Linked DNA regions of Drosophila melanogaster. The protein of the gene in region 2 interacts with the protein of the main gene of each other region in a pairwise test. Each region holds a gene or a part of one and is shown on either strand. Other genes may lie near its edges.

What was found. Proteins that work in one complex are often made in the same cells at the same time.
Region 1: the proteins of eca (region 2) and CG5174 interact in a two-hybrid assay, tested with the Drosophila melanogaster proteins (one large-scale study listed by BioGRID).

What each region holds. Positions count from the first base shown.
Region 1 is NT_033778.4:18,419,933-18,429,216, reverse strand, and holds CG5174 (uncharacterized protein), read right to left. Parts: upstream 6,286-9,284; 5' UTR 5,933-6,285; coding exon 5,482-5,932; intron 5,349-5,481; coding exon of another isoform or gene 5,346-5,348; intron 5,249-5,345; coding exon of another isoform or gene 5,210-5,248; intron 5,091-5,209; coding exon 4,966-5,090; intron 4,892-4,965; coding exon 4,731-4,891; intron 4,611-4,730; coding exon 4,551-4,610; intron 4,346-4,550; coding exon 4,141-4,345; intron 3,878-4,140; coding exon 3,770-3,877; 3' UTR 3,254-3,769; coding exon of another isoform or gene 3,212-3,253; 3' UTR 2,996-3,211; downstream 1-2,995. Other genes in the region: PIG-O (phosphatidylinositol glycan anchor biosynthesis class O), read right to left, coding at 1-1,329, 1,399-1,582, 1,640-2,283, 2,342-2,488.
Region 2 is NT_033777.3:9,682,770-9,689,938, forward strand, and holds eca (eclair), read right to left. Parts: upstream 2,708-7,169; 5' UTR 2,611-2,707; coding exon 2,478-2,610; intron 2,416-2,477; coding exon 1,898-2,415; 3' UTR 1,700-1,897; downstream 1-1,699. Other genes in the region: CG9444 (uncharacterized protein), read right to left, coding at 1-109, 169-397, 879-1,112, 1,181-1,214; CG18542 (uncharacterized protein), read left to right, coding at 3,080-3,202, 3,265-3,420, 3,478-3,948; Unc-115b (uncoordinated 115b), read right to left, coding at 4,693-4,868, 4,932-4,998, 5,767-5,852, 5,945-6,084, 6,311-6,484, 6,553-7,106. UniProt on the Drosophila melanogaster protein: Eca and bai are essential, though not redundant, for dorsoventral patterning of the embryo. Specifically required during early embryogenesis for the activity of maternal tkv, while the zygotic tkv is not affected. Involved in Golgi organization.

The DNA of each region.
Region 1 (9,284 bases), on a different chromosome or scaffold from region 2:
CACTGTATGGGAACTCCTCGGAGGAAGCACAAAGGTCATTAGAGGAGCCCATGAAAGTACGATAATCTGCACCAATAGCAGACCATAGATCACCAGAGCCATGGCATCGATATGCGTGCGCTGGATGTGTTTGATGGAGCTGTTGGCCAGCAAGATATGGCCGCCGGCGCAGATCGAGGCCACCGTGGGTCCGTAGCGAGCCAGCAATACGTTTGGCAAGTTGCCAGTCAAATTACCGCAGGAACGCAGATACAATCGTGTGAGCGTGGTGTACACTACGAGCACCACGACGGCGAGAATGTAGGTCTTGCCCGTTCCCGGCTTTTTAAGGGAGAATCCGGCTCCGCCGGTGTTGACAAAATCCGAGCAGTTGCCTTGTTCTTCGCGGCAACGAAACAGCGTGTAGGCAAATCGTATTAAGCATATCGCCAAAACGCTGGCCAGGATCAATCTTAACGCTGTGGAGCGCAGAAATTGTGATGCCTTGAATTTTGTCCTAAAATCCAAACGGGCACTCAGCCGAAGAAGTTCGTGGGAGAGCAGTAGTATCGCTGCTGCCAAGAGGTACGATAAGATCTTGGCCTCCTGGATGACGAAGCTGTTCGAGAAGAACACCGCCATGGAACCGAAAAGCAGCAGACGCGTGGGCATGTGTCCAAATCGCTTGACTGCTGACCAATTCGTGGCAATGCTGGTCCAGTGACGTAGTGTATGGAAAGCCAGGATGACAGCACTGGATATTGCCGTAAAGAAGATCACTCCTTGCTCCTCTGTTTTAAAGGAGAATGTCTTGAAATACCGATATCCAAATACTCCAGCGGCCAAGTTGATTAGGTATACATAGAAGACCTCCTTGGCTTTGAAGATGTGCGGAAAATCCGCTGGCCGAGAGTTGTTTACCACAAGGAAGATAAAGAACAACGGCAGGAAGGTAAACAGCAGGCCCTGCGACATCTGAGTGGGGTCAAATCTGACCCAGATTTCGCGACATGTGCCCAGGATGTCCCGCAGATTGGTGTTCAAGTCACGTACAAAAGATTTAAAAGCAACCTCGTTGTAAACGGTTTGCACTCGGTGGGTGAGGAGTATGAATTCAGTCTCTAGATGGTCCATCTGTTCCACGTTGAATGTGCGCTTGTTCTCCAAAGCGTACTGGAAGAAGTAGCGATAGATCTGCTGGGCATTCTGCCAGGAATGAAGCAAAAGGGTCTGAAACTTGTTTAAATGCGGTACTCGCAGATCGGGTACAATGTTGAAGTTGACCAGGCCTAGATTGGAGTACGGTATTGGGACGCCGAGAATGGTGGCCAGCGTGGGTACCAGATCAATCTGGAAAGCAAATATCGTTGCTTATCACTGTGACGTGACGCGCCGTGATTAAACGTTGTCTTATCTCACCTGCTGCAGCATTTCGCTATCTGAGCCCGAATCATTGCCATAAAATCTGTGCTGCTTGGAGTAGGCAAACAGCAGAGCGTTGGTTTCGTCATCGGTGTCTCCCCCATGATCGCCGGAAGCCGTCATTCCATGGTCGCCCATCACCAGCAGCGTGGTGTCGTTGTCCATGGCCGCCACCACGGATCTAAATGAATGATGGACATGATGATATGCGGTTACCAATAAATGTGATGCCGCCTACCTTATCACCTCGTTCATCTCGCCCAATTTGCGCGCCATTTCCTCGTGCATGGGTCCGTGTTTGTGTCCGCAGTGGTCGACGCCGAGAAAATGGGCTACCAGCACTTGCCAATCCTTACTTTCCAGCTCCTTGGGCAGGTGTTTTAATATCTCATTATCCACGCTATCCAAATCGAATATATCGAAACTGGGATAGGAGTACGATCGTTTGAAGCGATGAGGATACAGATCCGTCCAGGTGCTATCCCCCAGGAAGACAACTGGTAGATCGTTCTTGACTATTTGATCAATGATATTATCCTCGTTGATCTCCGGTGAGGCAAAATTGGAGCCAATGTCTATGAATGTGGGAAGGCTGCCGGTGGTGAGTCCTTTCAGGCGCTGTAACGTTGTGGTTGGCGGATCCGCTCGGAATCTCATTAGGCGGGCGTGGTCAGGATTCTGCTGCAGCAGCTCCTGGAGCACCACCAATTTGTTTTCATATGGCAAAGGATCCGTAGCATTCGCCCTGTACAGGCCAAATTCATATTTAAGTGCATCCACAACCAGGACAATAACCTTCGACTTTTGCGGAAGACACAGATTGGAGGAGGCGTTGACATCCTTAAAGATTTCGTTCACAACCTCATCGGTGAGTACGTACTCCTGTTTGAGGACAAAGGATTTGAAATGCATCCCATTTCGTTCATTACCTAGTACTTACAGCATTGGGATTTGTGGACAACCTGCGACAGGTGCTCGTCTCCGTTTTGGACACCCGGGCCAATAGGAATCCCCGCGAGAAGAGCATCACGCCGCTGCTGATGAGGAAGGCCAGCCAAATAAGCACGAACAAGTACGTCAAGTTCATCTTTCGGCTGCGATTAATTAACTAACTAGGCACACAAATGCTTAATGAGTAATAAACTTTTTAGCATTTAGAACAATGCTGGTGTAGGCGAATACTTTATGCGGCTGGCCAGCCGCTTTCAGTTGTATAAAACTATGTAATTTAATTGCACTTTACTTCGGAGTGGTTGATTAGGTTTCCGGCATCACGATGCGTTCTGTTTGCTCGCTGTTTTCATTTAAAATTCCTCATATCTAAAGATTTTCTTGTGGCCTGAAGAAAAAATTGAGAAGTATGCAAGAACCCTCTATGGCGTTGCCACCTCGTCAAAGCAAACAGCTGTTTTACGTTGATCCCTGGGTTAAATCAGAGTTGTCAACTTTATTATAATTTTTGGCGGGATATTTAAAGCTGACAGATGAAATTGGAAATTAACTTTTTTTAATTCATTAGCTGTAGTTTAAGTTTGAAAAGGTAATCACACATATACTCCCAAACATCATTTATCAAAAAGACATCGCTATTTTTATGGGGCAAAAATTTTTGCATTTATTCAAAGATTTCATACACATATAGCAAATTTGATCAGCATTAGCAACAAATTGGGTGCGATTTCGTCTCTTTCTCAATCTTCAGCAGTACGGACTACATCCACTTAAGTTTACCAATGGATTTTCGTTATTTGCACGCAAGCTCTGATCGTAACACAAATATTTAGTACTAAATAAATTTGGAATTGGCTTTTCAACGGATTAGGGAACGCCATCTAACCACGGAACTCAACGCCTAGAGAAGAAATAAAAGCGTAAAACAAATGTATATTCACTTTAACCGCAATGCATGATTTTCTAATGTTTTTACTAAGTATTAGAAACATTTGGGAATGACATCGGGTGGACCATCCAATGTGGTTTAGTCTTTAAACGTACACTTAGATTGATAGTTATATAAACGAATGCAGCAAGCCCTTGGATCTTCGATCCTCCGTGGCTTTAAATTTAAACAAGTCATGCAATTTGATGGTGTCTCCAAGGCAAATACAAATAGATGCATATAATATGTGCTCCCATTGGCAAATTTTTGACGCGCAGATTTTAGTTATATTAAGTATTATATAAACCGTATCGACACAGGTGTACATATGATTTCTGGTTAAATTAATTCTGATCCTGTTGTTAGTGCGCAGACACGACAATTCGCTTTAGTTAAATAAGTTAATAGAGTGGGTGCGTGGGTCTGTTTGTATGTAGTATAGGTTGCTCCACATTATCGACGCGCTTGGCCTTGCAGTTGCCCCGAAATCTATTTCGGGAGTGAGTCTGTGGGTGAATTCAGACCCGAGGATGTGTTATTCTCGTCCAGGGCATCTGGGAAACTGGACACCGAACCCGAGCGGGATGTCACCTTGGTCTACAATAGAACAGAAAACCGAACAGATTGTAGTAGAGGTGCAGTAGCATTTGCGCAAGGAGTAGTTCGTTGTGTAAGCAAGCAAATCAACCGAAGTATCCCAATTCAGAGTGCGTTTATAGTGGGTGAGCAAGTGTGAAAGATGTGTGGTTAGTGTTAGTTAGTTGGTTAGTTAGTGGCTAGTTAGTTAGACGGGAACCAAAACAGAATCGCAACAGTATGAGAGATGTGTAAAGACAGATATATAATAAAATAGTAGTTACCGCATGAGATTGGCACATAAAATTGTTGTGTTCATAGCTTACTTTAACGTTCTCGTAGGCAGAGCCCACCGAAGCCTCGATAGAACGCATCGATTCGGAGTTTTTCATTTGCGACAGTTTCGACGAAATGCCACTGGTGATGCTGCCAAACACCGAGGCGGTCTTCTCGCCCGTGGACTTTAGCACCGACTCAGTGCGTTGGTATCTAGGGGAGAGTACAAATAAATCCAACATTAGTTACTCATCTCGATAGTTTTCCTCCATACACAAAGTGGGCAAACATAGGTGCGCTTTAGTTACAAACAGGCGAGAGTTGGTTATTGTGTTAAAGGAAGTGGCGTGAAACACGGCGTTAGTCCGGTAACTCCAAAAGTACCCAATTAAAAATCAGCCTGAACCCAATTACTTACAGTGGTGCCTCGTACACCGTTTTAGTAAACGTGCCCACGCTCTGCTCCACCGATTGGTAACTAAATAAATACACGTTATAGCGTTTCAACAGGAGTTTGAAACAAAAAGCATGGTTAGAAATTAAAACTGTCTAGTCGGGTTAATTGCCCAGCAGAACTGCGAACGGTTCATAGACTTACACAGTGCTCTCCTTGAGGTTCTTAAGGCCCTGGTTCACGTCGTCCGTCACCTCCTTCCAGACGGTGATGCCCAGCTTGCGCTTGAGATCGGAGGCATGGCGCGTCTTGGAGGCTAGGACAGTTCGCAGCGTATTGATCTCTTCCTCAACGCGGGCGAGCTCCTGGAAATTGAAGTAGAAGTTAGCGTTCGAGCTGAGTAATCAAATTATGATCGTAAAACTGAAAACTTCCTTACCTGACTCCACTCAGCCCGACGCTGCTCCTTCTCCTCGACGGAAAGCGCAGCGAACTCGGCGGCAATTTCTGCGGATGCCACAGAATTAGCTGGAGATGCTGGCTCCGACAGGTTGGCTGTATTATCTGAACATGAAATAAAAAGCCATTAAATATATGCCAATCCAAGGGAACATTAAAACTTGGGGTGCTGTGTGGGGACTGTAGCTTAATTTCAATGTTGTCGGCGGGTAGTGTTTAAGTACCTCCTTTGAAAGCAACTTCCTCAAAGACTTTGTCATAGGCTGAATACACCGAATTTAGTTGTATATACGAGTATGTACAATTTGCAAAGACATGAGTTGGTTAATTGGTTAGATCTGGGTTTTTGTTAATACTCACAAACTGACGAGGCGAAAGGCAGGCAAAGGAGAAAGAAACAGAGAAGTTAGTCTGGTTAGTCATGGTTGAAAGTGGAAAAGCGAATGCCACAGAACAAAGACCCGACCTAAGCCCACCAACCCCCCTCCCCACTGACCGAATTTGGTACCTCTACTTCTATGCCCAATGTTGAGGAATCTCTTGTAGTTATCACTGTTTGATATTTTGGCCAGATACGGTTTGGAGAAGTCTATGAACGTGACCTTAACGTCGCGCATGGTTCGCTTGGCAAAGAACTTCAAGCGGAAGCGTTTGGCCATCGAAGACGATGGCGCTTGATTGGCCAACTTGGCGGCAATGAAGTCCGCCTCCACTGCCTGCAATTCCAGGCTGTTGGTGTAGTCCGAATCCACATCGTAGAATATCTGGTCTAGCGTCAGATTACGCAAATATAGCTCAGCCTCGCTCTCCTCCTGCCCATCGCCATACCAGTCCAAGACGGCATCATTGGTTTCCAGATCCAGTGACGGTGTGCTGGTGAGATCATCAATGCTTGGCAGATAGGGGTCTTCAATGAACTCCAGGCTATTCGGTTCCGATTCGCTCATTCTGTGGCAATAGCGGCGCTCTCTTTCATCTTTGGCAGCAACTTTCTATTTTGAACGTGGCAGCTGCTGGCGCAGGAGGCTCATATTGTCTTGGCCCAATCCTAAGCACATATCACGTTTCCACGGTCAGCAGCGAGCACATTTTTCTTGGCCCTGCTTTCAGCCACTTCGATCGTTCTTTGCTGAGCTTTCAGTTCTTGGCCCGCCGCGTTCCACATAAATTCCTCTCCCCATGCGATCGCAGCTGGTTTGTGGTGGTTCTTCTGTTTCTGTTTCGATTTCAGTTTCGTTTTCGCTTTCGATTCTGGGCCTGCTCCATCCACGCTCGTCTACAGCCAAATGCCAACTGACTCGATCTCGGCTTAGAAATTGGTAGATGTGGATTGGTTGGCCGCTTGGCTCCGCTTGTTGATGATTCGTGTCAGCACGAAGACGAGAAATGCCACAAGAAGAGCGCTAAACAAAAGGGGCAGCAACAGGCAGCAGCAGCAGTAGCAACCAGCAAGACTACAGTAGAGCTTGACTAAAAGTTACAGCTACGTAAATACATTAGCTCTATAGTAACCAACTTTACACTTCATTTAATTTATAAATTAATAAGCATGGGAAAGTTATAAAGCTAATAATATTTGCATAAATAATAAGTACGCTTTGATAAGACACTAGATATACATATATGTGTCTAATTTAATTGCAGCTAAAATGATTATTTTATCAGTCAAAAAGCTTTGATAAACCGAGACTTCAATTTATTAATTGAATAATATTCTTCTTTAATTGTACCTTTTAAATTTATTAAGTAAACAATTGTGAGGAGATGAACAACTTTAAAAATTGAAAAACCCTATGATAAGGAACTTTAAATATAACTATAAATAAAGTTTTTCTTTGCAAAAACGTACTGTACATAACTGTATCGCTTTGTTGGAGCCAAACAAAAAAAGGAAAATAATTCATAATTTAGCTTCTTGCTAAATAGCAATTACCAGTTTGGATTTTTCCGATTTTTCCCAGCTTCCTCCGACCATCAAGCACTGTATGAGCACAAAGCCACTGTGCCACATTGATGGACCCTATATCTACACTATATATATATATATATATATATGTGAGCTAGTTCTGGTTTGCTGCGAGTTCTTGCTGCTCAGAAGTGCCTGTTGTTGTGGCAGGCCCAATCCCATCGAGAAGTCAACAAGTGGAAGCCAATTACTAAGTGGTTTCGGTGGGGGAACAGAGCTCCGAACAATTATAGTGGCACCATGGTGATAAGCTCAGTGGGAGGAGGCGTTTTCAGATGATATGCATATCATAGCCGCCCTGCGGATGTTGCGCTTCTAAAAGCCACGTATGCATGGACGTCGGAAACCGAGAATGCAATACTTACACCACAAAGAACCTGACCCCCGCCCACCAAACGGATTGCCATCGATGGCATGTCGCAGAACTTCCACGGTAATCCGAATAGTTGGAAAGCCTTTCACCCTACGCAAATCGGAACCATGACTCATCTGCTGATTCCCAGCGCACCAAGGTTAACTCATTGTGTATTCTAAGTCCCCCAAAACTTTTGGCAAAGCCGCTGCTGAATCAGAGTCCTACAATAGTAATGATACCCGAATTACCCGAAAGGTCTTAGGTGTCCCAATCGCCCAGGTCACAAGAGCCCACGGAAACATGTGCCGCTGCATTGGAATTGCAATGATGCACTGCGTCCGTATGCCACACACTTACGGTCCTCCATTACGGCGTTGTCTCCGGAAGTCTGCGGCAATTTTGTTAACTATTTCGATGCCAACTGCACGCACTTGTCGCAAAACTTTCAAGTTGAAAATAATTTTTTGTTTCGCTTGCTTAGCTATCGATGGTTGCTAAAATAAATCGAAGGAATGTCACTATCGATAGCAGCTTTCGGTCAAAAATTCCATCTCTCGTGCACATAACTACACACAAAAAATTCACAAAATCGCTTAAGTAAATACGTAATGCGTAATAAACGTTCAAACAACAGAAATGGGTCAAATTTTACTCACTAAAAGCTCCAATCTTCGTTATCGATTGTAATTAAACTTGTTGCAGCTCGGTGAGAAACTAAGTTAGTTATCGACGCTGTGACACCACTACCTAGAGCTGCCAGATCGCGCCTTTATTCAAACAGAAAAGTTTCGGTTTAAAACTTTTGTATTTCAAAAGAAATAAGACATACGGTTGTATCTGCTATATCTGGGTTGAAAATTATAGTTAGAAATCGAATTGTTAATGAAAATATTTTGTTTTGCAGACAGCAATTGCCATTTGGCCGTCGACTCTTACATTTGATTTTGTCCGTTAATATAGGAAAATATATACATTTGATATAGTTTGTATTTTTACGTTCTTAGAATTACTAATGCAGTTGTTGTAAATATGTATGTATATTTTTAAAAATTTACAATATCAGGTCTGTTATTCTTGGTGTTATCATATTTTTTTTTAACAGAAGCAATCGAAATACTAAACAAACGTGAAACAAAATAAAAATGTTGCAAAAAAAAAGCAAAAAATTCGTTTACGATTTTTATTGGTTTTATATGGTTTTTTGTTTTTATTGAATAGTAATAGTAAAAAATTAATAATTTTTCTTATACTTTGTGTTTCAACTGTCAGATATTGCGCGGTGTAGAGTTGAGAAAACTGAAAAACCATCACCCGATACTCGTACAAAGTACTGGAAGAGTTCCAAATCTTTTACTTGCTTTTGACAATTTACACCGCGGCGCAAAGAAAATTATTTAAGTGGAAAATATAAGTCGAAAACAATTTAATATAAATCAAGGGGATTGCACAAAATTAAAATGTCGATACTCATTTTGAAATGTGAACAGAGTCGGTGTGTGTGTGTGTGTGTTTTTCGGGTTCTGTATCATGGCTGTGTGTATGGTAGAACGCTAGAGGATTAGGGAGTAGGAGTAGGAGCAGGCGTGCGGGTAATATAGTTATTAAATTTAGGTAAGGTTTATATTTGCTGTTCAAATAAATCGCCATCTCCACTTCCACTCTCGCCCCGCAACGTAAGAAACGTTTGTACAATACAATCAACGTTCATTTAACATTTACTTTCGCATAAATCATAATAATCATCACTTAATTGGGAAGGGTTTAAATGGAAATTCCGAATACGAAAATTGAGTATGGTGTAATCAAAACGGGGGGTAGATAGAAGGTAAATGTAAATAATTAACATTTTATGCTTAAAATTACATTCGTTCTTGAACGTGCTTCGCTAGTCAGTTTTAATTCAATTAACAAACCATTTTGCTGAACTTTCTGCTTACTTTTAGGGAGCTTCAACTAATTAGAATATTATGTGTTGCAA
Region 2 (7,169 bases):
GACGCTCTGCTCCGGCAGCTTGAACTGCAGTGCGCCCAGCGAGGTGATGCAGGCTCGTATCGATCCATTGCCAACGGCGATAAACAGCAGAGCGATGGACACCAGCAAGCTACGAGTCGCAAGTGGAATAAGCTAAATCCTTCATCCTAATCCGTTGCGAGTACTTACACCATCGGAAGACCCATGGCAGGCAGGGATGTCAGTGTGAGGAGTAACCATCCAAAGGCGTAGATAAAACTGAAGCCGGATATCGTGCGCACATTGCCGATGTAGCTATCCGCTAGGATCGCCCCAATGATCGGACAGAACTGGCCAAAAAAGTTGAAGATGTGCAGCACCACCGTGGAAAAGCTCTCCGTGAAGTTGAGATCGTCGCGCAGATAGAGTGCGAGTACGGCTGGAATCGAGTATACATCGTAATCGTGGGTCAGGCTGCAGTCAATCTCGAATTATTGACCATGAAATAAAGGTTGTAGCATTGAGACTTAATTGGAAATTCGTTAAGCCATCTCTTTAATGATGGATGTTCTTTTTAAGATTCACATCAATGGGAAAATTCCAGGAGTTTTAATTAACAATAATAATAATCTTGAGTCAGTTATCTTATTTTTGAAGATTTTCTTTTTAAGTAACTAAATGCTAGGTCTTGTTCCTGCCCATTATTTGCCAATTGCAACCTAAATTTTCATCTTATCTATGCCTCTTATATTATGCACCATCACAGGTCTTTTGACTGTCAATAAGACCTCCTTGTGTTTATATTTCTGTGCCGCTGATAAGCCTGGTTTCGGAATTTTTCAACCAGACTTTGCCGACGAATGCCTTTGACCTGACCAAAAATCGATTATCTGCTTTTGGATGGAAATCTGGAAACTTACTGCGAATGCCGTTGGCAGCAAAGGCCTCAAAAAATTTTGTGGCCAGAACGAAGAAGACGGCTCGTGGATACCTATACTTCATGCGGATGGTCGGTGGAGCAAATCCATAATTGGGCAGGGAGCTGCGATGCGCCAGCTTCAATTGGGCCCGTTCTCCTCTCCAGGCGACCCACTCCACGTCCCGTGCATCGCGTTCATAACCCACCTGGCTGAGCTCCGCCAGAGCTGGCAGGGCTACATGTAATAGGGAGAGAGAGGATTACCTGCGCTTCTTGTCTTATCTTATCTAGCTGCAGACTCACTTTCTTCGCTGCCGATTTCCGTAGCGCGAAACATTTTCAACAGCCTGCACGCCTAATCCGACGTAGACCAACTGAACCGGAGAGGGAGCAGAGACCTAGGCCAGTTGTTGACTTGAAAGCGCTTCAGACTGGATCGGGTTACAGAGCTGCGGCTTTTGTGGGTCGTAAGCGTTCGCGTTTGGTGTGCCACAACAAGCTGTATTGTTTTGGACGTCGGATTTGTGCCGCGACTGACGACCGCTGCTCGGGGCGGTCCAAGAGCTACTAAAAAGTCTCTTCTCCGACAGAACAAACAATGAGATAAAGGGCAGTCACGACACGATGCTGCTCGATGCAGTTACGATGGACCGCGGTCTTAAAACTAGGGAGTTAACGCCAACGACACAGGTTATCTGTCACAGCCTACTGATAAGAACAAGCCACGCTTGGTGAGGCAAACATAGTCACGGGACTCGGCTCAGCTGACTGGCAGTCTGACCCAGCGAAGATAGGATGTGGGGGTGCACACAGTCTCGGTCTCGTTTTGTACAATGGATTTTATTAAATTACGCACAAGAAATTACAACTAGAAGTGCTTGGAGTCGAGGCCAGTGGCTGGTTGGGTGGATGACGATCCATCGATGAAATTCGCAATTCCTGCCAAATGAGGGAAACACACGGAACAATGAGGCCAGTGGTTGGCCAGTGGTGCTGATGATGCCCTAGCCCCGGAGCACCTCACACCAGTTTCTTGGCCTCAAAGAAGCTCTTGAGATGACGCATCTGCCAGAAGCCCATGCAAACCAAGACGACGGTCTGGGCCAGCGACCACCAGAGCACGCGGGAGTTGGTGCTCTCGCTGGTGTGACGGAACCGCTCCTCGCGGTATCGCTGGTAGTTCTGCTCCTTGGTGATCTGCTCCACCTGGTCAAGTAGCTGGCGGATGCGCAGCTGCAGCTCAGTCAGTTTCTCCTTCTGCGCCACATGGGCGTAGTCGATAGCGTGCTCTCCCACCTGGATGTCCAGGTGAACACGCAGCTGGGCACCACTGAACCACGCGGTGCTGTTCGAGAACATGCAGATGACGTGCTCGCCAGGAGTGTGCGAGGTGAACGAGATGCGGCCCTGTGAGCTGTACACGCGGGACAGCACAATCTTGTCGTCGCTGTCGCGTACTTCCACATGCATGCCGATTCCGGGCGACGAGGGCATGAATCCATTAGAGCGCGGATCATACAGCTCTACCTTGTAGTTAACTGCAGGAGGACAAGTTAGTCGATTGGTAAAACTTCCAAGTTGGCACTAGGCTCTGGCTCACCAATCACAGTTGTCTCGTCGGGAACCTCCTCGATGAAGCACTTGCGCTCCGTCTCCGATATGTGGAAGTACAAGCCGCAGGCGCTGTGCAGGACGCACAGAATCAGGGCCAGGCTGATGAATTGGTCGCGCATTTTCGGCTATTTGCAGTGACTTTTTCGAGTAGTTCTTTAATAAAGTTAAGCTCGCCGACACGTCATGAGAAAAAGTGCCAGATCAAAGTCAGAGTGTTTGGCATGAGAGATGGCACCGTGATTGGGCTAGCTCACGGCAAGCTCACGAAAGCGATTCTTTTAAATAAATGGAACAAACGATAAATTAAAATAGTTATTCAAACAGGTGTACATTTAAAAAATAAGAGTTGAAGACTAATTTTCAAACATTGTAAAATATTATATCTAATAAATAAACTTCTTGCGATAGTTATTCTCACGCTATCAGTCTTGAGTTCTCTTTGCCGATATCTGTCTCGAGTGGCAACACCGCAGCAACAGCTGTTTTGCCATAAGAAGTAGTGGATTTTGCATCGCTTTGGACACACTGATTGATCGGTGTTTTTATTTTTTTTTGGTTCGGCTTATCTAATAATTTAATAACACATTAATGCAGCCATTTATTGTCATTCGCAACTACACGCAAGATGATGAGCTCAAGTGCCAGGAGCTGGTGCGGGACTACATCATGTCGTTCTCGAATAAGTCCTTTTTTGTCTATTGCTTTCGAGAGGTGAGACATCTTTATCTAGATCCCCAAACTCTATGAACTATTTGGATTTCAACTTTTTTCAGATCACCCTGCAGTTCATAGTCATCACGTGGGCCATATTCTTCATATTTCTGGGAGTGCCCCTGCTTTTTTGTGCACTCACTGTGCCCGCTTGCATATTTTGCCTATTTACCGGCACCTACTTCTCGTTTTACTCCAAGGCAGTGGAGTTGATGAGGGTAAGTGTTAAAGCATCGGCAGCAAAGTATCTCAAACTAAGAACGTTTACTTTCCAGACCAAACCATCGCAGTCTTTGGTGGCCGAGTGCTATGAACCCTTCATTTTCCGCTGCTCACCGAAGGAAGCTAGCTACCAGATATTTACCGAGAACTGTCCATACGAGGAAACATACACGAGGAAATTCCGGCGCAGGATTGTGGCCGCTATTAGTGTGAAGAATCACCACGCCGTATACAATGCTGCATGGATCTATCGCTTTGCCATCGATCCCCATTACCCGTGTCAGACGATCATGGACCCCATGATAAAACTGGTGGTCAAGAACTGCATTATCGGCGGGTACGCCTCACTGGAGTGCACTATCTCCGAGTGGCAGGAAAGTGAGCGCGACTTTTATGATGATTTTGGGTTCGTTACGCGGCAGATCTACCACAAAAAGATCATTGGCAGCAGTTTGGCAGTGATGAAAACCCAGCTGACCTATGGGTTACGTACCGACGGAGCAGCTTTGCACAAGCAAAACTAGTGCGTTACCAATGGTGCAATATAGATGATAGATAAATGGATTCTGTGGAATCTTATTTAATATTTACGTATTTATTCTGTGAACTTTACATTCCAGTCACATATTGCGTCCCGAACTCAAATCACACCGAATTATGCCCTTGATGGCGTTTCTTTATCGATTCGACAATGTTTAAAGCCAGTTTAGCCAATATATAGTAAGCTAATACTCCACAAACATTCCTGCATGTCGACAGACTTTAGCCGTTGTCGGCTCGACAAAGAGTAAATTCCGTCTAGGATTAAGAAGAAACTTTATAATCTCCACACTCGAAGTTTTAATAATTGTAAACACGTTGACACTGCTTTTGTCCTGTTTTATTATCTCTGGTTTATTCTTTGACATATTCTATTTAAATAAATAAATAAAATATTTAGTAATAAATAAAATTTGCGTAATGATTTAGCGTAAATTTGATGCCACACATCTAATGTTTCGCATTTTGCTGTGTGATTCTGCTGTAGGTACATTAATTTCTTATTCTTTGATGCATTTCTCGGTTCTGTAGCCCGTTACATGGTTGAATTAAGGTGTAATTTGGAAAAAGAGTCCAGTTTATGTTTGCGTTTAAATTGCCATAGCACTGCGTATAAAAAGCCTACATGCCGGGGACATGCAATGTTTAACTAATTTCATATATCATCTGTCTGTATACACTTCGTTTTTTATTGGGATTTTATGTTCCTTTCATATAGTTGTTCTCAGTTACAATTTTGCGTTAGCGCAACTAATTATCGAATGGGACATGTTGGGCAGACTGCGCCGGATGAGTCCGGCCTGCGGATAGTGGTAGGAGAGTGCTCCTGAGTAAGTGCTCGAGGCGGGCAGGTCGCCGCCCATCAGAGCTCGCCTATCGCCCTCGGTGATCGAGTCCACAGAAGCTGCCAGAGGAGAATTATGTTATTCTTTCGCCGAGCCGGGTTTTCAAAATATATTTCACTTACCCTCCGATTTGCCGCAGCTCAAATCTGTGCTGTGGGTCTTGTCGCCCAGTCCTCCATAGGAGAAGTCCTGTTTTCGAAAAGGGCATGGGATTAGTTTTCTGATCAAATTGAGGGACACATGCAACAATAATAAACGAAAAACCAGTGCAAGTTACAGGTGATACCAACGGGCATCCAAACACAAGACGGGGACTCAAAGGACTCTACGGCATAGCAACAACGAAAGCGGTCTTACAGTGGCACCATGCATCGTGGCCGCAGCGGATGTGGTGGAGCTGAATGTGTGGGAGCGTGGTGCTAGCCCGTATCCTGGCTTGGGCACATGGCGCAGCGCACTCACCACTGAGCAGATGTGGATGTAGATGTACATGTTGATGGTGTTCAAGTGATGTTGATATGTTCATGATGCAAATGTTCGAGTTTTAGTTGGTCAAGTGTGGATGGGTGTTAGTTTTTTGAGTTATTTGTTGTCAGGTGTCAGGGCAACAATAGCAAACACATAGTTGTTAGGAGTGGCGCAGGATGGGTGGATGGGTGGGATTGGGTTTTCAGACACGCAATGAAGCAGCAGACCAACCAGTTGAGACATATGCGAAACAGTTGTTAGTTCATCCAGGTGAGCAAACCAGTGGCGGCATTGGAAAGTGAGAGAAACAAGAAACAAATACCGTCGTAACTATTTTGGGATTACATATAAGCGGATAGGTTCGTGTGGTAGTGGGTAAGCTATAAGCTACATAACCGACAGCCCGGCACCAAGGATATAATCTGATCTGATCGGATCGGATCGGATCTGATGCGATCTATGCCGATCTGAGCAACAGGCAGCACTTACGGAGCTGAAGCCATTGCGTATATAGGGCAGAGTCGTCGTTTTGAATCCGTATCCGGGCTTGGGCGGCGATCGGTAGGAATGTATGGCTATAAACGTAAGTGGGCTAATATATAATATCGGTATCGAATCGCTATTTGCCTGAAAATCGAAACTAGGACAATGCTCTCTAGAGGATTACCATTGTAGCTGGGCGCGTTTCCAAGCGATTTGCCAAGCGAGCCACGGTAGCTGGTGGAGCGATCGAACATCTCGTCCTCGTAGAAGGGCTTCTGGTGGTCCAGATTGCGCGATGGCGATGCTCCAATGGGCGATTCGTATCTGTGTAATCAAGATGTCATAGGATTAGTATTACTACACTATACTATATACTATAACCATATGTTTTGCTATCTTATCGTTCTATTTTTAAAACAAATAATAATAGATTTCTTCAAGTGCAAAATACACCGAGCACGAACTAGAAGATACATTTTTCAATTTTCTTATAACGATCAATTTTCATTATCATCATTTTTCAATTTTCTTATAACGATCAATATCTTACCTCAATTTGTAGAGTGGCTCCTTGGAAGCGGAGGGCGTCCTGGATGCGTTGCGCGGATCCAAATTGTTCTGCTTCCACTTCCTGTACTTGGCGTGCTCCTTGAGGTCCTTGGCAATCGCCGATCCGATGCCCGAGTTAAGCTTTTCCAGCTGTTCGGCTTCGCGTTGAAGGCGTCTGTATTTTTGGGAAGAGATTTAATAGGATCTAGGATCATAGCATGCACAAGAGATTCCAATACTCACTGCTGCTCCTCGCCATTCTTGACCTTGCCATTCGGCTTGCCATTCTCCACATTCTCGTCCTCATCATCGGAGGCGGGCACTCCCTTGTAGGTATCACTGTATCGCCGCCTACGCTCCGGATCCGTGTAGGGATACGGCGGAGCGGGAAAGTCATCCCGCTCGATCTTGGGCTGCTCACCTGGCGGCGGCTTCTTGGCGGCCGGATAGTGAGACAGTTCAATCGGCTCCTCGTTGTTCATGCCAGGACTCTTGGGACGCGGCGTCTCCGAGCGGATGGCGTCCACCAGCACCTTCATGGCGCTGCGGGTCCGCGAGTGGGGACGCGACGGCGGGCGGCTTCCGGCCACGGATCCCGCATTGCTGGCGGTGGTCGCGTATGAGGAGGGCCGATGGAAGTGCGGCGACAGCGGCGTCTTGTCATACGGATCGATCGGCTTGCGCAGATAGTGCGGCGCATCCGTCAGATAGCTGTAGGTGTAGATGCGCGAGATGTCCTCGGCATTGGGTCGTCCGTACTCCCGGAGTATCAGACCCGGACTCACCGTTCGGTAGTGCTGCAAATTAAGTGGGATTAGTCCTGGGCTCTCATTTCAAAGTTTAAATACATGCAGTGCCGT